3 linked regions of the Lonchura striata genome follow. The protein of the gene in region 2 binds, or shares a complex with, the protein of the main gene of each other region. Links are inferred from orthologs where the notes say so. Each region holds a gene or a part of one and is shown on either strand. Other genes may lie near its edges.

What was found.
Region 1: the proteins of SERPINC1 (region 2) and F9 are in contact, whole or in part, in a crystal structure (PDB 3KCG), measured with the Homo sapiens proteins. The link is inferred for Lonchura striata from reciprocal best matches to the Homo sapiens genes SERPINC1 and F9. Residues at the interface, in NP_000479.1 of Homo sapiens: Glu264, Asn265, Arg267, Glu269, Met283, Met284, Tyr285, Glu287, Met347, Val349, His351, Val420, Val421, Ile422, Ala423, Gly424, Arg425, Ser426, Leu427, Asn428, Pro429, Asn430, Arg431; in NP_000124.1 of Homo sapiens: Lys247, Val248, Asp249, Ala250, Phe251, Cys252, His267, Cys268, Glu270, Glu285, Tyr312, Arg358, Phe360, Lys362, Gly363, Arg364, Ser365, Leu367, Lys387, Phe388, Asp405, Ser406, Cys407, Gln408, Gly409, Asp410, Ile429, Ser430, Trp431, Gly432.
Region 3: the proteins of SERPINC1 (region 2) and F2 are in contact, whole or in part, in a crystal structure (PDB 1TB6), measured with the Homo sapiens proteins. The link is inferred for Lonchura striata from reciprocal best matches to the Homo sapiens genes SERPINC1 and F2. Residues at the interface, in NP_000479.1 of Homo sapiens: Lys258, Glu264, Asn265, Arg267, Tyr285, Glu287, Gly288, Lys289, Glu345, Met347, His351, Ala419, Val420, Val421, Ile422, Ala423, Gly424, Arg425, Ser426, Leu427, Asn428, Pro429, Asn430, Arg431, Val432, Lys435; in NP_000497.1 of Homo sapiens: Leu389, Leu390, Cys391, His406, Cys407, Tyr410, Pro412, Trp413, Asp414, Lys415, Trp455, Arg456, Glu457, Asn458, Leu459, Asn506, Thr510, Trp511, Thr512, Ala513, Asn514, Val515, Gln519, Arg541, Ile542, Asp562, Ala563, Cys564, Glu565, Gly566.

Annotation. Positions count from the first base shown.
Region 1 is NC_134616.1:732,865-740,400, forward strand, and holds the start of F9 (coagulation factor IX), read left to right. Parts: upstream 1-4,444; 5' UTR 4,445-4,524; coding exon 4,525-4,591; intron 4,592-6,853; coding exon 6,854-7,017; intron 7,018-7,251; coding exon 7,252-7,276; intron 7,277-7,536. UniProt on the Homo sapiens protein: Factor IX is a vitamin K-dependent plasma protein that participates in the intrinsic pathway of blood coagulation by converting factor X to its active form in the presence of Ca(2+) ions, phospholipids, and factor VIIIa.
Region 2 is NC_134611.1:27,402,133-27,409,401, reverse strand, and holds the start of SERPINC1 (antithrombin-III), read right to left. Parts: upstream 3,075-7,269; 5' UTR 2,868-3,074; intron 1-2,867. UniProt on the Homo sapiens protein: Most important serine protease inhibitor in plasma that regulates the blood coagulation cascade. AT-III inhibits thrombin, matriptase-3/TMPRSS7, as well as factors IXa, Xa and XIa. Its inhibitory activity is greatly enhanced in the presence of heparin.
Region 3 is NC_134608.1:38,795,400-38,802,357, reverse strand, and holds the start of F2 (prothrombin), read right to left. Parts: upstream 3,040-6,958; coding exon 2,605-3,039; intron 1,631-2,604; coding exon 1,606-1,630; intron 1,400-1,605; coding exon 1,349-1,399; intron 907-1,348; coding exon 801-906; intron 720-800; coding exon 589-719; intron 1-588. UniProt on the Homo sapiens protein: Thrombin, which cleaves bonds after Arg and Lys, converts fibrinogen to fibrin and activates factors V, VII, VIII, XIII, and, in complex with thrombomodulin, protein C. Functions in blood homeostasis, inflammation and wound healing.

The sequences.
Region 1 (7,536 bases), on a different chromosome or scaffold from region 2:
CTGACAGAGCAGTTTTGTCTCCTGGCCTTGCACTGGTGCAAATGATTAAATGCAGGAGGATGAACCCAGACTTTGGTGCTGCCTTGCACAGAGTGGAGCCCTGCCCTGCAGAGGGTCGGGACAGATCTCACGCCAGAGGCTCCTCCAGCAGCAGGGCTCTGCCCTGTGCCTGTACCTCACGCTCTGAATGCCCCCTGGGCAGGGGCTGCCATCCTCCCCGAGCCTGCAGAGCACCTGGCTGCCTCTCTGGAGGGTTTGCTGCAGATTCTCTCCAGAGCTGGGCTCTGCTGGCTCGGGGCTGCCAGGCCAGAGCCCCGTCAGCGGGCACTGCAGGCAGAGAAGCACCCAGGCACTGGGGCAGGAGCAGAGAGAAGCCAGCAGGGCACAGCACTAGAACACCAGGTTTGTGAACTTCCTGCTGTCCCACCGCTCGGGCTCTGGGGATTTTGGGGGGAAGGTGGCAGCGAGTGCCTGGAAGCAGGGCAGGCTCGCTCCCTGGGAGCACTGGTGGCGGTGGGCAGTGCAGCCTGTGCATCCCTCTCTGCATTTCCCCTCTCAGTGCTCTTGCAGCAGCCCCACGAGCCTGGGAGGGCTCTCGGTGTCTGCAGCTGCCTCTGCAGCCCCCAGCTGCAGGGATGCTCTACAAGCAGTTATCAGAGCGAGCTCCGAGTACCTGTGACTCAGGGCGCTGACTGGGGCTGTCAGTCAGGGATGCACAGCTCAGAAATATCCCTCCCTCTTCTCTGCAATCCCCCCCTTGGGTTTTAGTGTTGATGCCACTGACAGTTTTGTTCCAGAAGGGCAAGAAGGCAAACTACAAAGGGCAGGAAGAAAGGGAGGTGGGAAAAGCAAATAGGACACAAGGATGCCCTGGGATGAGGAGAGGATAAAAACTACAGATTAAATATGATTCAGGCAACAAAAAGGAACAAGGGAATAGCCACAAATGTTGCCTCAGAAAATGGGCAGAACAAGAACACCGAATGCTGTTACTGTAAGCTCAGTGGTAGGTGCAGGAGCTTTGGCTCTGGTGGGTTTGGCTGTGCTGGTTCAGACTCATTTCACCCCAGTCTGAGCTCTCCAAGAATAAAGTTTGATGTCTAATGTGAGCTGTCAATTGAGGCTGCTTTCCCAGTTAACAGAAAAGGAGAGAGACCCCTCCCTCCCCCAGCAGGGCACACTGAATCCTCCTGCCAGTGACGGACTCGAGCCTGGCCAGGACCAGCCTCGGGCTCACACACGTGCCTGGCCTGACAGGGCTGTGTCAGCTCGTGCCAGGACACAGCAGCAAGGCAGATTTCCAGCTGATATTTAATTTAGCTCTGCTCTGTACACTGATGTTTGAGCCTGGGGATCTGCCTGACCTGTCCACCTGCACGAGCTGAGCTTTATTTCACTGCTTTGTCCAGAGTTTGGGGTGGAGATGGTGAATTCTAAATTTAGAGTGGCTTCAGCAGCACACTGTGTCTACCTGTGCTTGCACTCTGCTTTCTGAAAAGATGATGACCAGACCAAATCCAGATTTCCTTTTAATCTGGCCTATTTTAAATCAAACTGCAAGGAAAGATACTAAAGCTGCTACTGGGAAACGTGCTGCTCCATGAATTAGTAATTGTGTTTATCTTCTACATTGGGGATTTTTTGCCTGTGTTGCTCTTTTCTTACTGCCACTCAACGTGAGGAGCCTTTATTTGAATGAGACTGTTTCAAAGCACTTCTACACTCATGTAGAGTCAGGCACTTATTTACTGACAGTTATTTACTTCCTGTAAATATTTCACAGCCACAGGACCTCCCAGATGAAAGCAGAGTTTGCTCTGTGCTCCTGTTCAGGAGTCTAATTAAAACCAGAATGAAATGGGAGGGACGGAGCTAAGTGCTAACTGCAGTGGATGCATCTAGAGGGAATTCAGCAAGGGAGCCTTTTCTCGGCACAATTATTGAAGCATAAAAGTGCAGAGGAGAAGTGCCCACCTCACAACTGACAGCCCTGAGACTGGTCAGGAGAGGCTGTGGGAGATGGCAGAGCCAGCCATGCTCCTGTACATGTCTCTATTGGACACAAAATGAGTACACAGGAGCTTGGGAAGTTCAGAAGAGAAAAAAAAGCATGTTTTATTCAAATATCTGGTATTTATAGAATTCTAAGGGTGACCGTGGATTGGAGGATGGAATTACCACCTCTCCAACCACACTGCTCCAAAGATCAATCAATCATTTCTCTCCACCCACAGAGAAATATGTAAAGTATTCTGTTTTTCCATGAAATGGTGTGGGAACTCTGTCTCTTAAATATGCAAACATTATCAGAAGGCTAAAGAAGCTTTATGAGAACTTAAACACTTTTAAAAGAGCTATAAAAGAGAACTTAACACTTTTAAAAATCAAGGCAACATCACAGACCCTGCTGCCAGCTCTGAGAGCTGAACCTCGATGCAATTTCACACCCCTGAGCCCAGACAGCTCCTTTGGCCCAAATCCCCTGCACAGCCCAGGGCTGGGGCAGCAGCAGCTCCTGGGTGTGCCCCTGGTCCCAGAGCCGTGGCAGAGGCTCCCAAATCCCCTGGGCACAGCCCCAGCTGGGCAGGCACTGATGCTCTGCTGGCCGAGCACCCCTGGGTGTCTGGTGGGGCTTTACAGTGCTGGGACTTTCTCCAGGACGTTCATTTACAGCCTGGGAGGGACTGAGCTCTGCTGCCTTTTTGTTTGCAGGAATTAATTTCCCACATTCAGAAAAAGCCAGCAACCCCAAAGTAATCACATAAAGAGTATGAAAAAAATAAAGATCAAGCATTACTTCCCCTGGTTTGGTTTGGTTTCTTTTTTTTATTTAGCACAGCTGTCTAGGGAGTAAGGGCAAATTGCTTCAGGTTTTGAGTGAGGTTTTTTCGCTTAAAGGAGTGCATTTGGAGAAAAGGGAGATTAAGAGCAATCCTTTAACAAGATCCTCAAGCCATCAGGCTGTTCAACATTAATGATCAGTGCAGCAGAGCACATTTTTAAAAAATCTCTCGGATTCAAATGGAAAGAGATTTCTGGTTCTGACTGCTCACCTGCTCCATCTCCCTTGGCAGCAGGGAGCTCCTCTGAAGGAGGGGCAGTCAGAGGGGCTGACCCTGCCAGGAACGAGCTGCCCTGCCAGCTCCCTCTGCCCGGCCACCAGCACAGGCCCAGCAGGCACCTGTGGGATGCTTCCATCCCAACAAAAAAGGGATATTTCAGTAAAAAACACAGCCTACCAGAAGAGACATCGCCCAGCTGCCCATTGCCACAGCAAAGCTATTTAATGCTTTAACCACTCCTCTTTTGAGAACACTGAACACTAAGTGAAAATACACCCAGATCTGATCGATGTCAGACAACAAAGCTTTCATCCCAAAGGGCCCGTGCTGGGGATCGCAGTTCTGAGGATTTGTTTGCAAAATAAATAAAAAGAAACACTTTGCTTTCCAATTAGTGCCCCAGAAGTTGATGGCAATAGTAGTACACAACAGAAATTATTTGTGTTAATAGCTGTGCTTATTCTAATATGTTGGCATTCCCTGTGAAGATTAATTGGCAATAATGTTGCAAAAACTATTACACATGAAATATGCACCATAAACCTAAAAGAATTTGACTGACCTATGTTCTAAAGTAAAATATTTGCATAATGTGATTCTAACTATCCTTTGTTATGGCAGCCATTCTCCCCACTCCTCTTTATTGATAGAGGCATTGTTTCAGCATTTTAGCTCCATTTATTTTCTCACATTTGCATTTCCTTATGCACAGAAAATGAGAGGCGATCATTACCTTCTTCACTTTGTATTCAATTTACATCAACAGCACATTACCTCATCCCAACTCATTTATCAACCGCAGAAATTTGATAACAAAAGCTACTGTCAGTGATGAATAAAGATCATTTCAAATGGAGCAAGAAGAAACAAGATGAATTATAGGTTTCAGGACTTTTTGTTTGCTCAAGAAAAGGAATATAGAGGATATTTTCCACCTAGACAAGAGGGATCTCACGAGGCTGCAGCTCATATTCAGCAACTCCTCTTCAGCTGCAGGGTCTGTGCTGCACCCAGAGGTGCCCCCGAAGAGCATGAACCATAAATGCTGCTGCCCCTTGCCTCTAAAGGAATGTTCCTCATTTTCCAGGCTGAGTGCACAGAATTCATGGTTGATACACTCGAGGAAAGGCTTTGCCCCCACCCAGGGGCTGCCGTGGGCTCAGAGCAGCGAGTGGAGCTGCAGCCTGGGGGGCAGAGCGTGTCCAGGGGGGCACAGCCCTGCCCTGCCCTCCCTGCCCTGCCCTGCCCTGGCAGCCTGCGGGCACCCAGCACCACTGAACACGCCGGGATCCCCTGCCCGTGGTGGCACAGCACCCAGCTGGCTCTGCCAGCCCCTGGGACATCGGGGACCTTAAATTGAAGGGCTGCCCTGGGCAGTAAACAGGAACCTGCACTTTGAACTCTGGGCTGAGCTCGGCCGCCTGGACAGGCTGTCAGCGAGAGCTTTGGGCAGGGGGAGAAGATGGCAAATGTCCCCCTCGTACTCTCCGTGTGTCTCCTGGGAGCTTGTCTCGCTGCTGAAAACGCAGGTGAGTTCATTTGAGAGCCAGCAAGCCCTTCCCTTTGGGGTACAGGCTGCTGCAGATGCCAGTCTGTGCCCTGACAGCTCGTGCAGGGCTGTGGGACAGCAGCTCAGAGGCACTGCTGCCTTTCACAGCTCCTCTTTAAAGTCTGGCCCTTCGCTGGGGGAAGGAAACAACAGCTTCTGTGCCGACTTGATACAGCTTGTGGCACAGGGATTAGTTTCCAGAATGGATTTTTTCCTTAGGTTTTTTGCACCTTTAAGCTTTCCGAGCTCGATTCGGCCATTTTAGAAGGCACTCACAGAAGGGGAGAAGGGGAGAGCGCTGCTGTGGAGGGACAGTCCCACCTCTTTGTATGCCAGCACCTTGTCCTGGAGAACAACCAAGTGCTCACGTCCATGAAACACTCGTTGGATCTGCCACTGAGAGGATTGTTTAGAGCCAAAGCCAGCGTGGTTTTAACAAAGCCTGCGGGATGCAGCCAAAGCTGGAGACAAGGCAGAGCACCTGACGGATGTGGCAATCACACACAGTAATGCAGGCTGTTGCTTGATTTATCTGTAACACCAACAGTCCCAGCAGAGGCTGGTTCACATCCAGTGTGAGCTCCCGCTTCCGGCAAGGCTGCCCTTCCTTCTTGCATTAAAACACTGCTGGAAACAGGTTAAAAAAATGCTCTTTCCAAAATGTTTGCTCAGCAACGAAAAGTGAGCAGAACCTGGTATTTTTGCCACCATTCACCCAGGTGTACCCCTATAAAACAGAGTGGACAGGACAGGTGTGCCCTGCCTAGAGACCCCTGTCACTCTCTCAGGCTGTGGCTCAGCAGCTGCTGAATGAGTTTGTCCTCAGGGTGAGGATGGTTTCCAGCCCCGTGCCACTCCTGCCACCCCACAGGGCCTGCAGCCTCCAGCCCCATCAGGTTTTGTTTGTGAGAGCAGCACGTGGGAGCTGTGAGGAATGGAGAGAGGCCAGGGGGATGTGAAGGAGGTGAACCCAGATGGGTTCACGGTGGCAGTGCCTGGCACATCCCACCGGGAGGGCTCAGGGAGCCTTTTCAGTCTCCTGTCAGTGGAGGGGCTCCTCACCTGTAAGGAGCCAGCCTGGTGCCAAGCAGAGCCCATGAGAGCTCCACCACGGCATCTCCTGCAGGCTCGGCAGGGCTGGGCTCTGCTCTGGAGCCCGAGCAGGACCTGCCTGTGACAAGGGACGAGTGGCTGCTGCTCGTCCCTCGGTCCCCTCTCCCTGCCTGGCCAAGCTCCTGGTGTCCCTGAGCCTCAGCAGGGCCCGAGCCCTTCCTGCATGGCCAGCAGGCTCCGGGAGCTGCTCTGCCATCTGGTGACAAAAGGGACACGCTGAGCCTGCTGCGGGAGGCTGCAGAGGGAGGAGAGGCTGGGCAAGCAAAGCAGGGACATCCCTGGGCGAGCAGAGCGCTTCAGGGAGGGCAAGGAGACCCTCATCAGGGCTGGGTCAGGAGCAAACCCTGCCACAGGACAGCCCCTGCTGCTGTCCCTGCTGCTGGGACACACAGCCCTGCCAGGCAGCGCCCGTGGCAGCCCGTGATGGGGCTACCCCTCACCAGGCAGCCACCACGCAGGGTGGTGGCCCCTGTGGCCATCCCACCCGGCCTGGGGTCCCTGCAGTGCCAGCAGCTCCTGCTGCTGGCCCTGCCCCGGAGCGTGGCCACTGTGGATGGTGGGTACAAAGAGCCCACTGAGGAGGTGGCCCGGGGCGAGGAAGGCTCCTGTCACCCCTCCAGCCTGCAGAAGATGCTGGGAGCCAGGGCTGTGGCCAAGGATGAGGAGCAGGGAGAGGAGGAAATGTCCCTTGCTCCCAAGGGCCACAGCTCTGCAGGGCTAATGGTCTTTCAGAGCCAGCACAGGGGCAGGACACTTCTGGGGCCAAACAGAACCTCACCAAGCAGCAGCGTGGAAAAGCCAATTCTTTTCCCCTGTGAAACAGCTTATTCCATTCTGTGCATCTGTGATGGAGATTCTCACTCCATCTGCATTAGGGTATTTTAAGCACCAAACTTCAGCCCTCCCAATCACCCTCTTGCCATCAAACATTTCTGCCCGTTGACTCTTCTGACGTTCGGCTCTGCAGATTTGATCCTTTGGGCTGGGCTGAAGTGGGGCAATAAAGCAAGCTCAGGCCCACAGTGACAGTCCTGAGCTGTCTCTGGCCATGGGGCAGTGGGAAGCCTGGAAAGGGTTTGTTTTCCTGGGAGGCCAGAGCCCTGGCAGCCCTGTCCTGTTCCCACGGCAGTGTTCATCGGGAGCAGAGAGGCGAGCTCGGTGCTGCAGCGGCAAAGGCGAGCCAACTCCAACAGGCTGGAGGAGGTCATTCCTGGCAACCTGGAGAGGGAGTGCATAGAGGAGAAGTGCAGCTACGAGGAAGCCCGAGAAGTGTTTGAAAACGAGGAGAAGACGGTGAGTGCCACGTTCTGGCAGCCCCTGGTTCCCTCCTCCAGCTGGGGCCCAGGGGCAGCAGGAGGGAGCAGCCAGGAGCAGACCCGCAGTGCTCGAAAACCTTCAGCACTCACACCAGGTGGTGGCTTCCCTGCCAGCCTTTTCCCTCGGCTTTGGAGCCATCCAGGTACTTCAGTCAGACAACACCCAGAAATTAGAAAACAAAGAAAACTTTTTCTTTTTTTCCCTTTGCAGATGCAGTTTTGGCAAACATACGTTGGTAAGAGCTGCTTTCTTCATGTTCTAATGCTTACTATTCCTCTCTCAGTGCTTAGAGACCCGATGTTACTGTTACAAATGTATTTTATAAAGACCCGATGTTACTGTAAGAAATGTATTTTATAAAGACCCGATGTTACTGTAACAAATGTATTTCAGCATCCGGAAACTGTAAGGGCAGAGCCAGTCAGAGCCTTGCACCCCAAATCCTGCAGCACCCAGCCTGGGTCTGTCCTGTGGCAAGCCAAAAAAAAAAAAAAA
Region 2 (7,269 bases):
CTGACAAGTTTCTACCAAAATGGATGATTTGAACTTTTGAGTCCTCTCTATTGGCCAGTGAGGTGGCTATAGTGTAAGGACGCTGCCAGGCTCACCTCAGCCTTACAGTACTTTTCAGTTACTGATGTAGGAGGTACTATGACAGAGAAGAAAGGTGATAAGGAAAAGGAAAATGTCTCCAAGGAAGCTGGTCCCTCCGTGGACTGAGCATCTACATCTCTAATCCCCCAAAAATGTACTTTATGAGCAGTATGGTGTAGCTGGTACATCACACCAATTCCTGCCCAAAGTTCATATCACCTCAATGCAAACTGGTTGTCCTTGGTACCTAAAGAGTGCAGGCTAATGGCAATTATTGTGTTCCAGCAAAAGTAGGTCTCTGAAAATCTTCCAGCAAGAGAGAGATAATTTGTATTTTTCCCTTTGCTAAAGCACACTAAACTTCAGAATGGTTTCAGTTAAAAGGAACCTTAACTATCATCTGATTGCACCCTCTGCCATAGGAAGGGACACCTTCACTATCCCAGGTTGTTTGAAGCCTTGTCCAACCTGGCCTTAGACATTTCCAGAGATGGGGCAGCCACAGCTTCTCTGGGCACCCTGTGCCAGGGCCTCACACCCTCACAGGGAACAATTTCCTCCTAAATCCCATCACCCACCAGCTCTGGCATCAAGGCCTCAAGAGCCATCCCAGGGCCTGCATGCTGTGGTTCTAAGATGCCCTTTGCATGACTGCTTTGTTTATGTAACCCATGGGAGGAAGCTCAACACCACAGCCACAACAGTTTGGGAAACAACTATTAGGAGGGACTGGCAGCCTGCCCAGGTCTTGCCTGCTACAGGGCACTTTTTCAAACATGTGTCTAAGTTAGGTAAGTCTCTGCCTGCCTGCACATACTCACTGCCATGGCTACCAAGCATTGCTCTCTGAGAAACTAAATTAAAAGTCAACTGCATTTAGCACTGGTGACCTCCAGCCTGTGATCTTCCAGTGCTGGTGGGCCAGCACCTGCTGGAGGAAAACGGGAGCAGCTCAAAGGCTGATCAGGAATGAAGGAGACCTCGGGGCTCTTCCACACCCCCTCCCTGAGCTCTTGGCCAATGACTTCATCTGTGCTCCAGTTCCTCTGCAAAAGCAGAAACTACCTCATCTGGCACCAAGGCTGTCTGGAGCCCAAGGCTGTGTGATAGCACAGCAAAACATGAGGGACTCACTCAGGCCATGGCCACAGCTCTCACTGGTAATGACACATAGATCATCTCGCAAAAGGTTTAGGACAGATACAATACCACAAAGGGTAAAAAAAAAAAATCTAAAAAGGAGAGAAGTTAACCAATTAAAAAACAAAAAACAACACTCAGGCCAAGAGAAAGGAAAAATATGAAGACAACTGAAAATTGCACTCCAGGAAGTGCTGTTCTTCCAAACCTTTCAATCCCACAGGAAAAGTCAGCCAGCAACAAGCCAGACACACTCCAGTGTTCTGCAATCCTGGGGCCAGGAGCAGAGCCCTTCACTGCCTGCAGCAGCCCTCCCTCACCCTCACCTGGTCCTGCAGCTCCAGCAGCACCGACACACTGGTGGCCAGACCCACCATGGGAAGGACAACCCCATCATGGTCCCTGCCCTGTCACTGCACTCACCTCCAGGGAAAGCCATGTCCTGACCCTGTCTGTACAAGAACAAACACCTGCTTCTGTCAAACCAGAAGCAGCTTGTGGTGTTTGCCATCACACAAAGTGTTGTTAATCTAATCTCATATTTAGGGACCAAAGCACAAGAGTGGGGAGGGCACCTTCATCCTCACCCTGTTCTCATTAAATGAGAAAGACTCCCTGTTTTTATCTGCAGCAAAGCCCCGACTCCATCAGTTCAGGGAAGATACAGGACTTTATGCTAACCCCTTAAATCTACTTTACCATCCATTAAGGTTGATATGGCCTCTGACACATCCAATCTTGTCTCTTATAGGCAAGAGCCTCTGCTGTTTCTTAGAACAGCTCTTTGTCACAGCTTTTGGCCAAAACCCACTCCTCCTCCTCCTCCTCCTCCTCCTCCTCCCACAGCTCTTCAGTGCTCCCTTTTCCTTTGCAGCACCAACATGCACTCCATGTGTCAACCTGGAAGGAGGCCAAAAGTATTCCCACAACAGCACTGCCTGAGAAGGATTACTGGCAAGAGGGAACATAGAAATTAGAAAAGGTTCTTACAAGGGTGAAGCAACACAAAGTGCAGAAAACCAAGAAACAAGTTGCTGATTAAGCTCAAATCAGAAGGCTCTGGGGAAGCATCGAGAAACTTCCCGATCCCTTGGCTGCTGTACGACATGGTTGGGCTCTCACCAGCACACACCATTTCCATCCCCCTCTTCCATGGCTGCAGGACAGGATGATTAATTGGGCTTACAGACTCCCAGCACCCACCCTCCTGAACCTACTGGGGCTACTGGTAGTGGTGGAAATGTCCCACAGCACCCAAGCACTGTGCTACACAGCCCAGTCAATATAAAATAGCTCAAACCATTTTGAAATTAATTTAGGCTCTTGAGAAGCCTTCCCCACTGCCTCACAGCCAAAACCAGAGTCCAAAGGAAACCAGCAGTGTACTTTTGCAGCCAGCAGTTACTCAGGACTTCCTGACTTCATTAACTGCCCTCCACACCATGACTGCTGCAGGCTGGGGGTAAGACAAGTCTGATGATTTAGAACACCAGCCATCATGACACCTAGGGGTGAGAGGACTCGCTCTAATAGAGCAAAAAGCCACTCTGGCAGCAGCTAAAATTCATAGGCTCCTACTAAGGGAAAAGAAGCTGTTTCAAGGAATTAATTAACAATGAAAGATGTGTGGAATCTATTTTTCTTACCTGCCCCTGTACCTCCAGCCTTCTGCTTTTAGGAGGTAAATTCAATTTTTTGAGAGAACAGTCTTGCTTGAGCCCAAAGCAGTTTCCCCACTGGATTTCTGTGCTCAAACAGAGCTGAGACAGCAGCAGGGGATGGTGGGAGGGGAGTAGGATGCTAAGGCCAAAGGCTGATGACCAGCTGCTGAAGGTTAAGCAAAGAGTAGGAAAAAAGAGGCAATGTTTAGTTTGAAAGAGGTTTTAAAGTTCAATCTGACAAGGGAGAGTTTGACCACCTACCCCATACAAGCGTCACATGCCCTCAGTTTTTGCCAACAGAAAATGAACTGCTTATCCCATGAGAAAAACCTTAAACCCTTCAAGAGTTTGAATAAAAATTATATAAAGCTATTTGTAGATCTAGTTTAGGGATCTTGGAGCCAAACAAAATGTTTCCCCCATCTGTCCCAAGCCCTGTCACCTGTTCCCTGTTTCCTGAACAGACAAGTTGGGAGAAATTGCCCCAGTTCACATTCTGCAGTTTCAAATATATCCCATCTTAAACACACTCACCTGGAAAGGGCCCCCCAGGGAATGGTCACAGCCCCAAGGCTGCCAGAGCTCCAGGAGAGTTGGGACACTTTCAGGCACAGGGTGGGATTGTTGAAATGTCTGTGCAGGGCCAGGAGTTGGACTCTGTGATCCTGGTGGGTCCCTTCCAGTCCAGGATATTCTGTGATTCTGTGACCTTTCACTTGCAGAGCTGGAAAGCTGAGGATTAACAGCAGCTCCCCCAACTCCTGCCCAGATTCACAAGGCAGAGCAGTGAGCAGAACTGAACACAGTTTCTATTCCAGGATGCAGCTGCTCTACAAATTCTGCAGCCTTGCCTCTGAAATTTCAAATCGCAGGAGCAGACTCTCCAGTGAGAGGAACATTTTCCCTTAATGGAAAATGCAACTGCAAACTGGTCTGGGTTAAAAGACCTTGCTGTATCAGTATGGGACATAGTTAAATGGACAGAGATTGTGGAGATAATTTGAAGGGTAATGTAAAAAACATCCTCCATGAGAAAGGAAGGACTCACATACTGTACCTTGTTACTTCAGGTTTAATTTTTTGAGGTAAATGACATGCTCACAGATCCCAGGGTTTTCAGTGATTAGGGATGCTCCGCACCCAGGCAGACATCCAAGCACAGGTTTCCATTTTCCCAGTGCTCAGAGGTAGTTTAAAGCAGTAAAATGAAAAGTGAACAACTATGCACATCCCACAGAGCTCCCAAGGCATTTTTTCCTAGGGTAACTGAGTTATTGTAACATTTGAATGCAGCATGTAAATGGTAATTTATGGCTGGTTTAGCTCCAAGCAACAACCCAGCATTCACATCTGAGCAGAGCTATCCAGGAAGCACCCAAGATGGCCAGTGTCTTAATCCAAACTGCTAGATGCCTTCTTTGCTCTGATGTAGGGGCTGTTTTTCTCCCAAACTCAAAGCAAAGATCAGAGACTCAAAGCCATCAAGCACCAAAGCCTGGCAGCCTGTGGCAAGACAGATGAAGTATCATGCTTTGGTTTTAGTCTCTCCCACATTTTTAGTCCCCAGGGAGCTGGAGTTCACAGTTAGGAAGGAGGTTACAGAAACAACTGAACACATCCTAGCTGGAAAGAAACAGTGCTTAAACATACCTGATGGGTGAGGAGGAATATAAATAGCCTTAATTTTGTTTTGTGCTTTGGGTCTTCACTGTTGAGTTTCATGGCTACACACAGGGAAAATGACTCTTGCACTCACAGAGCAAGATGGAATCAAGGCTCATGAGCTAGCCTTTTCAAGACTTTTTTCTATCCTGCTATCCATATCCAAAGGGGAAAAAAATTCCAGCAGGTACCATCCACTTGAGCCTGGTCTCCCCTCTTTTCCACATGAAGAAACTCAGCAAGTTTCCCCCAATCTCTCTTGATGCAGAGCACCCACTTCTTTCCAGAGGGATCTGACTTTCCAGTGCTCCAGATTTTCCTTTTAAAAGCCAGCCACTGTTGGAATTCAGCTCTTTTTTTTCCCTTCTGAAGTGAGTCACTACATGAGGATTCTGAATCCTCAGACTAATGGCAGAAAGGGTAAGGAAACCATCACCAACTGAAACTTAGTTTTCTGCTGGCTTTCCCACTAAACGGAATTTCTTTATAGGAATTGAATGCTTTGACCCACCCAGCAAGTAAGTGTAGAGGTGTGAGGGGGCCTAATAATGAGCAGTGATGGGCTTCAGCCCAGCAAAACACACCTTACCTTGATCCATGGTGCCCAGGCTCAAGCATATTAAGACAATAGTAATGAACATTATGCATGAACTCGAGGGGCAGAAGGCTGTGCTTGCCCTGGAGTAGAAGGAGCAGTTTTTCAGTGAAGCAGCAGCTTCATCCAGTTTCAGATTTACAGCTAATGACTTGTTAAAGACCACAAAAAGCTGTAAAAGGAGAAGACTAAAAACCACAAAGCAGACTGTGGAGCAAAACTTACTTTCACTTTAAGGCAAGTTCCAAACCAGGCTCAACGTTAAGACAAATGCTGCTCACTCTTTGCTCTGAAGGGTTTGGTTTGCTTTTAAAATATGTACACTCTGAGCAATTAAAAAAACTTGATTATTTTGAGCATCTTTTCTTGTTCACCTCTGGTGAACAGGTGAAGGACCCACTTTGTTTACAGGTGAAGTCAGAAGAGAGCAGACCAAACCCTGGAGATGTGGCTTCTCTGCTATTTGGCATCTCTTATGCTGCAGCCCAGCAAAGAGCACACACACCCTGAGCTGATGAAAATCTTACTCAGATGGTCCAACAGTCTTACACCTCACACAAAATTTAAAAGAATGTACAATCATCCCAGACAGAAAACAAGAGATACTTCAAAGTGTTCTTCATTAATTTATCACTTAATATAAATGCTGACAGAAAAGCAGGTAAGACCTTGTAGACACTTCCATCTATTTACAAACCAAATAGTGAATCACTTTTCCACTTTTTTGTTGTTAAATCTGCAACTCAAAGGACCCTTAGACATTCTGTGAGTGCAAGGTGGAGTCAGGGAGAAAGAGGGAGAAAAGCAAGGTAAAGAGGGAAGAAGAAATAGCATTTCAACATATGTTTTTTTCTATGTAACTGCCATGCATTTACAGTAGGTCTCCCTTGTTCTTTCACACAAAAGTGACACCGTTGCCTCTATAGGTCTGAGAATTAAATAAAGACCAATACTGATTTTTCAAATCTCTGGATCCTCTTCCCTTTTGCCTCCTTCAATGCATTCCCACTTCAGCAGAGTACCTAGAAGGTTTTTCTTTCAAGTCTAAAAAGTACATGGTAGGAGTAAAGACACAGGGAGTTGGATATAGAGAACTTTCTTCTACTTCTTTTGTTATCTCAGTTTTCCCAAGAGGTAGCAAAGCATCTAACCTTTCCTGGAAAAGACAGAGCAATTCCCCATGTACCTCTGAACATCTCCCTCATGATCAAGCCTGTATGTACAAAACTTCATAATTCCTCTGAACTTGCAAATAATTCAATTTATGTAATTTTTATCATACATTCTACTTTGTGTATACTCCTGTTGTAAATATTTTGATAGTCACAAACAATACATAGCCACATTATCAACCCAGAGGCAGCCACTCCCATTAAGGAATTTTTGTTTATGGGAAAGAGAAACAGGAAAGGAAGAAAACAGCAGAAGAAGAAAAGCAAGGAAAAACACAAGGAGAGAAAGAATGATATTTTGTTTAGCACTGAATCATGAGAACAGCAGATGTAACTTCACTTATGTAGGATCCTAAATAAATTTAAGAAATAGTTCATAACCTGATTCAACAAATGTCATGGTCTCCTTTATTACCTAGACTATCCTTTATTTTATTTTTTGTTAAATATACCTCTGCAGGGCACAATCACATACAATCAATACGATTGGATAATTACATGAGCTCTATCCCAAGCATATATGCACCGATGTTAAAAAGTTATTTAAAAAACAAAACAAAACAAACAACCCAAAAAATAAAATAAACTCCACCCAAAAAGGTGATAATGACTGCAGAATGTCTCGGGGAGACTTGTAAGGAACTAACAAGATCAAAGAAAATTAGACTTACAAAAACCACCAAAAAAAATCATATATCGAGAAATCCCACAACTGGAAGTAAATGATTTCAAAGAAGTGGGAGCTGTAATATAGACCCCACAATTCTTCCTCCTTCTTCACACACAGGTCTAGCTTCACCTCTTCCTCCCCATAGCAACAAATACAAGGAGGGGAAGAGCTTAACACAACGCTACCAGTTAAAGAAAACAGGGAAAAATAGCCAAGCTACAGAACAGCTGCTAAGCTGAATTCAAGGAAAGATCCTTTTAGCATGAAAGCTGCTTACACAGCAAGCAG
Region 3 (6,958 bases), on a different chromosome or scaffold from region 2:
CTTTACCAGTTCTTCTGAGACAGAGGCCAAGCCCCAGAGGAGATGGCTTTGTACTAGGGAGAAACGGGAATGTGCAAGTGTAGGGAGATGATCCTCTATGTTCAGCTTAATGATGAGAGAAGGGTATCTTCTCTTTACTTGAAATTGTGAGTATTAAACTGCACACCTTCACAGGAGAGAACGTTAAGGCAGGCAGTCAAGCATAAACTAGTTATTTTGTTCTAAAGGTAGGCATTCAGACCAAAAAGCATTATGACTCTTGGCTGTCACAAATTAGAGACAGCTGGGCCAGGATTCTGGGGTGACTGACTAGAAAATACTGTAGTACATTCCAAGGTACTGCCGATACTGGTTTTAATTTAGATCTACATTAGTGTAATCTAGAGAAAATAGCTCATTATGTATGGGCAACTCAGTGACTTTTCTTCCTCATCTCCTTTACCCTTTAAGATGCAACTTCTCTACTCCTACTGACCTCTGTTCATGTAAGCATTCCCCCTCCTTAACCCTCTCCTTGACTGCTTTAGTGTCAGTCTCAGTGCAGTGTTTTGCTGTGAGTGAAGGGCTCTCTGGAGTGCTGGGGCATACCACACACGGGGATAGGACACGCCTCCCGTTCTACTGTTGGGTTTCGGGTATAGCACCACGGGCCTTCTGAGTTGTTGTCTGGGTTCCTGCAGTAGTTCTCAATGAGGTTGGGATAAATGGTGGCATTAAATCTATGAGAGACAAAGCTGGTTAGGCTAGGAAGGAAGGATACCCCAGAGAACTCTTAAGGGGTATGTGGGAGATGAACTTACTTAGGTATATGTGGATACTTGCTTGTCCACACTTGACATTCAATCCCAGACTTGGTTTGGCTAATTGTTCCCTGATAGTTCTGGCCCAGCCCAAGAGCACAGTTACCTGTCAAAATCCCAACAGTGCAAGCCAGTCAGTGGAACTGGATGTTGCATTTTGCAAGGTCAGAAGTACCATCCCCACATATCCCTTTAACTTTTGCTGGGTGCATGAGCCTGCAATAGCAGAGGCATCCTCTTCCTGTGAGAAGCCTAAGCTTTCTCTGCTTCATCAGAGGGAGCTGTCTGTGAGGGCTCTGTGCTTTGCTTTGGCTCAGAGCCTTTCTCAGAGGCTGCTATTTCAGTGCACAAGCCAGATTGTCTGTTGAAATGATTACTGGGGAAATAAAGAGTAAGAAATAATTTCAAATTCCTCCCCTTGTATTTTTCTTTAAAATTAGATGGCTTCTCTAACATCAGTTAAATTTCTTTTCTGTACAATCTCTGCAGGAAGCAAGTTCCTGGCACTCACTGTATCTAGGAGATTGAGGTCAGCATGAAGTTCATACCTTCTAGACAAGCATCCAGAATTGTCCTGGACTTTCCCAGGCCCTGACATACTAGCAAAATAAGAAGAAAGAAACACATTGTATGAATGCAATCCAAATAAGCATCGTCATTTGAACCAGGTTACCATCTAGAGACAAAACACAAGTGCTTAGCCCTGGAAAGTGAGCTCTTAAAAGAGGGAGCCATCTCTCCAGGATGAGACAGTGCATTCTAAGGAATAACAATACCTGCAAGACTCAAAACAACTTCAACTTACCTTGGTATTTTGACCAAAATATATCCTGTAAAAAAAAAAAAAAAAAAGAAAAAATAATTTAAGGACACAGAACATCAAACATCAAACCTTTCTGGGCTACCGCTATTGAAACCAGTAAGAGAATGTTCCATAACAACAAAAGGAAAGACTAATCTAGTTCTGTTTATACCAATTACTATGGAGTCAAAGCAAAAATGTGATGCAAAACCACATTCCCACACATCAGACTTGGCAATCAAGACAGTACTGTTGTTTCTAAAAAGACCAAAGATGTTTACAACCTTCATCAACCTGCAAAGCAAGCAGTGCAAGTAATGCAGTATGCTACAGTGCAGAAGTCCAAGCAGCTGAACCTGGAATTTCTAAGGCCATAGATCACATGTAGGTATTGCTCATCTCTGCCATGCAGCTGGAGGCTGATTGTTTTTGAAGTACTCCAAAGAGCTAGTGTCTTGCTGGCTTAGGCTCCTAACTGTTTGTTTATGGGTTTTTTGGGTGTGAAATTCTGCAGGGACACCAGCCTTGGGTCTAGGAACAAATCCCAAAAGGATGCAGTATCGGACAACTTTGACAGAGTGAGTGAGTCTGGAAGGCAGAAAAATAGACAGGGTGTGCAAAAGCAAAAGCTCAAGGGAGTCTGAGCAACCTGCACTTAGTGTTTTGACTACTATGCCAGTGCTTCTGTGGGTGTCTGGGATAGCAGTTCGCATGTATGGTACCATGCTGAGCTGGTGGAAGGTGCTTTTCGGGACCAATAGCACCTTGTCACTTCATGCATAGAGAGGGAGAGAAAAGAACCTGAGCTTTCAAGTGTATTCCCTGCAGGTCTCAAGAAGGGAAACTCCCTAAGGAAGCCTGAGCTTGCCGTGGGGCATGCACTCATCAGCCTCATCTTTAGCTCACAGAATTGAGTATTACAACCCTGGTCCCTGGCTGTGTGGGCAACCTGCTGGTGTCTCCCCACAGAGGCTGGCTGGGGGAATGTTTCCCGGTACGTACCGTCTGATCAGTGGATTCAAGGGCTTCGAAAGCCTCCTCATAACTGCATGTCTCCTCCAAGCACTCTCGCTCCAGGTTTCCCTTAAGCATCTCTTCTAGAAATCCCTTGTTGGCACGTCGGTGGCGCTTGAGCAGTGACAATGCCTGCCCCTTTTCCAGGAAAACTATCAGGTCAGAACACTGCCAGTCAAAGGGCTGCTCACAGCCAGAGGGCACCTTTGTCTCCCCTTGCAGTTTCCAAAAACCACATGCAGCTGATGTGGTGATCCCACAGCCCAGCCTCCCCCAGCACACCATACAGAGAGGAGAAGCCCTGTCATGTCTACGCTTGATGATCAGAGCAGGCTCACTGGAATTCATCCCATCACAGCTCCCATCACTTAAGGAACAGAAGCAACAGGAACACTGCTTCCTCGGCAAAGCTGCTCTGCTCATTTGCAGTTAGATAGAGGCTTGTTTGCTTTGAGCCTGCTGCTGTCCCTATCCCCAGCCACTGTATTTCTGTCTTATAAGTCTCAGACCACTGTGCTAAACACAACTTGGTTCCAGTTCATGTTCAGAGCCCCTGATTTGAGATGTGGAGACAGGTCTTCTCCTGCTCAGTAGTGGGTTGAAGAGTACTTAACCTCATGTTAAGAAAAGACAGAAGCTCCTTAGGGAGCAGTGAGCAGGCAGGTGGAATATTTTGTATGACCTAAGGTTTTGATAAGGCACAGCAGGACAAGCAATAGAGAATTGAAGTCATCTAGGTCAGCTGAGAAACTCTATTCCCAAAAGCCCCATGGTTATTGTTAGACTTGATCCTGGACCACAGTCCCCTCCCTGCCATTTCCCAGGTGACCCATAAAATGCACTGAGCTGCTATCACCAGCTGGCAGATGCAGCTGCATCCTCCTATGTTCACTCCATTCTCAGCACCCTTTTGCTCCCAGCTTCAAGCTTTTAGCCTGTCCTCCTGACTTGAGGAAGAAAACTTGCCACCTGTGTTACCCCTGGAAAGAACTATCTCTGTCTTCCCCCTGTCATCTACTGGTACTTCTGCCCTTGAGTCTTACCTCCAGCATGGCTCAAGGTGAGGTGCAGAAGGCTGGAGAAGAGCAGGCCCCTCAGTATGTTGGTTTTGTTCTGCGCCATGCTGTACAGCCGTGGCTGCAGGGGAATTGCAAAGGAAGCAGAATAAGCAGATTCACAGCCCTGCTGGGTTAATATTGAACCAGAATGAAGAAACAGGACTCCAGGTCATGGTGTGTCAGGGACAGTGGGACTCTTATCCCTCCTCTTTTGGCATCTCTCCCTCCTGTCAGAGCATCTTTGTTTCCTTACTTAACTTCCTATTTCATATCTAGGATGATGCATGAGTAGCAAGAGGGCAAGTTTGTCCTAGGGTACAGGGAAAATTTGGGCTGGAGAGAGATACCTCTGCCAGCTCACAGCCATCCCAGCCAGAGAGCTTGCTCCTTTTCCCTGGCTTTGCTCCTGTGCAGCCCCTTGGCACCATCACTGCCTCCCCACCATGCTGGTTCAGGTCCTTAATACTGACTGTTCTCAAAGGTTGTACTCTAGCTACCTCAAACACAGAAGGACTTTGAGACCTCCTTAGCCATTCCCAGTCCTCTTTTTAGCTGCAAGCCCCCCTGAGTGTCCCTAGTGCTCAGTTGTCTTTCCTTCCTGCAGTTATCAGTAAGCTCAGCCTCAGCTATTTTGGCACCACAACACAGTTTGTGTTCTCCCTTCTCCCTTGCCCATGACAATGAGCAGAAAGGGTGCCTTTGACAGCCCATTTGGGATTTAGATTTTCCTCCCAGTTAGGTTAGTTACCAGTGCCATTGGCAGTGCATTCTTCGTAATGCCTTATAATTCCCAGCTGAGTGGAAGAGGATGAAATAGCATGAAGGCTAGGCTCCCCCTTTTCTTCCCCCCTTAGTGGAATGTACTAAAGTCCATCTAAAAGGAAACAGAAACTCTGACAAGCAGGGAGCTAGCACACCCCAAACCAGCCAGAAAAACAAGGGCTTCCAGGAATGGGGAGAGAGGAATGGTCTGGATGTAATGACATCAGCTGTTAAGTCAAGAAGTGGACTACCAGAGCTGGGAAGGCTCTAATGGTTGCTACAGCAAGCAGACTATTGGCAAGAGTGGAAAAACAGCAGAAAGCAGGGCAGCATGGGGGTAGTCTCAGGAATCTGCCACATGGAGCAAAAGTGCTTCCTGCCAGCAGGGAGCATATTTTGTCCTGTGCCTCTGTGCAGCTGATACATCTGTAATGTTTATCTCCATAGAAGAAGTGCAAATATTAGCATTAGGGTGGCTGAAGAATGACTCTGGACACTGGTACAAAGAGCAGTTGCAGAGTCTTCCTTCCTCACATAAGAGTATCTCCTGTTCTCATCCACACACATCTCTACTCCTCGCTATGGATTTTGAAAATACACCTTTAGAAATGGCTGGAATTCCCTGGGTGGAAATGACCTGGGTGGAGAGTGTGTGAATGGGATTAGACACAACCCTGGAAATCCCCATGTTACTTAGCAGGGGAAGCAGCATTTAGGTAGAGAGCGCAGGCAGGGACAGGGAAAAGCACAAACAAGAATGGTAAGGTCAGGCTGCTGCTGTGTCCCACACAGCCACCTCCACTCCTCACTGGAGGAGGAGCAGCTTTCAGTCTCCTCAATCACTTTCTTTTCTGCATCTCTGTCTCTTCTTTGTAACAACCAGGCAGCTTAAGTCAACGTTGTTACGCATAGATTTTTACCCTCTGCTTGTCTTTCCTTTAAAGGAAAGGTCTTACCACCTTCCATGGGATCATGCAGTATATAAGGCCAGCTTTAAGCAATGCTACAATACAGCAGTTAACCTTGGTTATCAGACAGGTATGAATATCTTCTAATACCCACTTATGCCATCTTCCTTAAACATTACTTCTGTTCTGGTTCCTACATTTATTTTGTTGCTTAAGCATTTGTTTGAAAAACCCTTACTGAAACTGATGATTCTGTCACTATGTCTGGCTGTTTCTTGCCCAGCTGCTTTCTGCTGCTGCTGCTCTTTCCCGAGCGATACAAGACAAACCCACCTATCAGGGCAACTAAGTTGTTAACTGTAACTGCTGAAACTTCTTATCTCTAGATTGCTCAAGGATACATCTATCACTTAGATGTCTTCTATTTCTTTACATTTTGCTTTGTAATTGGAGATTTTCACTACATCCTGGGACCCTTTCCAGCTCTTTCTGGTGTCTCACAGCAATGTTAGTAATTAAAAATGCTGACTCTTCACACTGTGGCCTTTCTCCTTCCGTAATGTGCTTCTAGGGCTCCTTTCTGTTTCTCCCATTCCTGTGGTTAGCCTCTGCAGCAGCACAGTATGCATCAGCTATCACCACCTCTCCAGGGATGACTTCCACCCCTCCAACATTTACCTCTTCCATTCAAACCAATTTTTTATAATTTCATTTTCTTTCTGCCTTCACTCACCTATGAATGATGGATGCTATTTTCTTTCTTAGGACAAGAGAGTTAAGATACCTTTTCCATCCAGAGTTACTGCTTGTAACACAGTTGGGAATTTTGATCTCTTTCGTCCTATGTGTTAATTCTTCTTTTTAAGTAAAGAAATTTGGCTTTTTTTTTTCTTTTTTTTCTTTTTTTTTTTTTTTTCCTGTGTAACTTTTCAACTTCCAGGGAGCAGAATATAGGGGATTTGGCCTTGGCCCATTTTCTTGGACCTTTGTCTGCTCTGTTATGGATAGTTTGCTGGTTCAATAGTTGAAGCGTTTATTAATCTGTTCCTAAAGTGAGTTATACAGTTTGATCAAAGCAACATCTTGGATACAATCAGAAACATGAAACCTTTATCCCTTCACATGGGAGTTCCCCTGTCCCCGAGGGCCAGGACCCAGAGAATTGTCTCCTCCCTGTGCAGCCTGTTCCTTTTCATTCAAACACCTTGGTCAGGTTTAAGCCAGTTTACAACTTGGCCAGGAACTGAACCCTGATTGTGGTGTGAGGTTTAAATGTAACACTTGTATGCATGCCTGACACCTGGTGTCACCCTGCCAGCACAAAGGACCCCAATCATCCAAAAGACCTTGGCATTTGTCACCCAGGAGTGTTGCAGCAGCACCCCAAAGATTTGGTGAAGCCTGCCAGCATGGTGGACTTCATTACCCAGGAGAGCTCTGTGCTTGCTGCTTGAACCTATTATGGGTACACAAAGCAGGCTGTGTAGCTGCTCCCCATGCCAGCATATGGCACCAGGCAGGCACATATCCTTTTCCTTGTTATCCTTCTTCCCTTCTCACCAGGATCCTGACAACTGCACCAAATGTAATGCACTGGCATGAGGGCTTGTTATG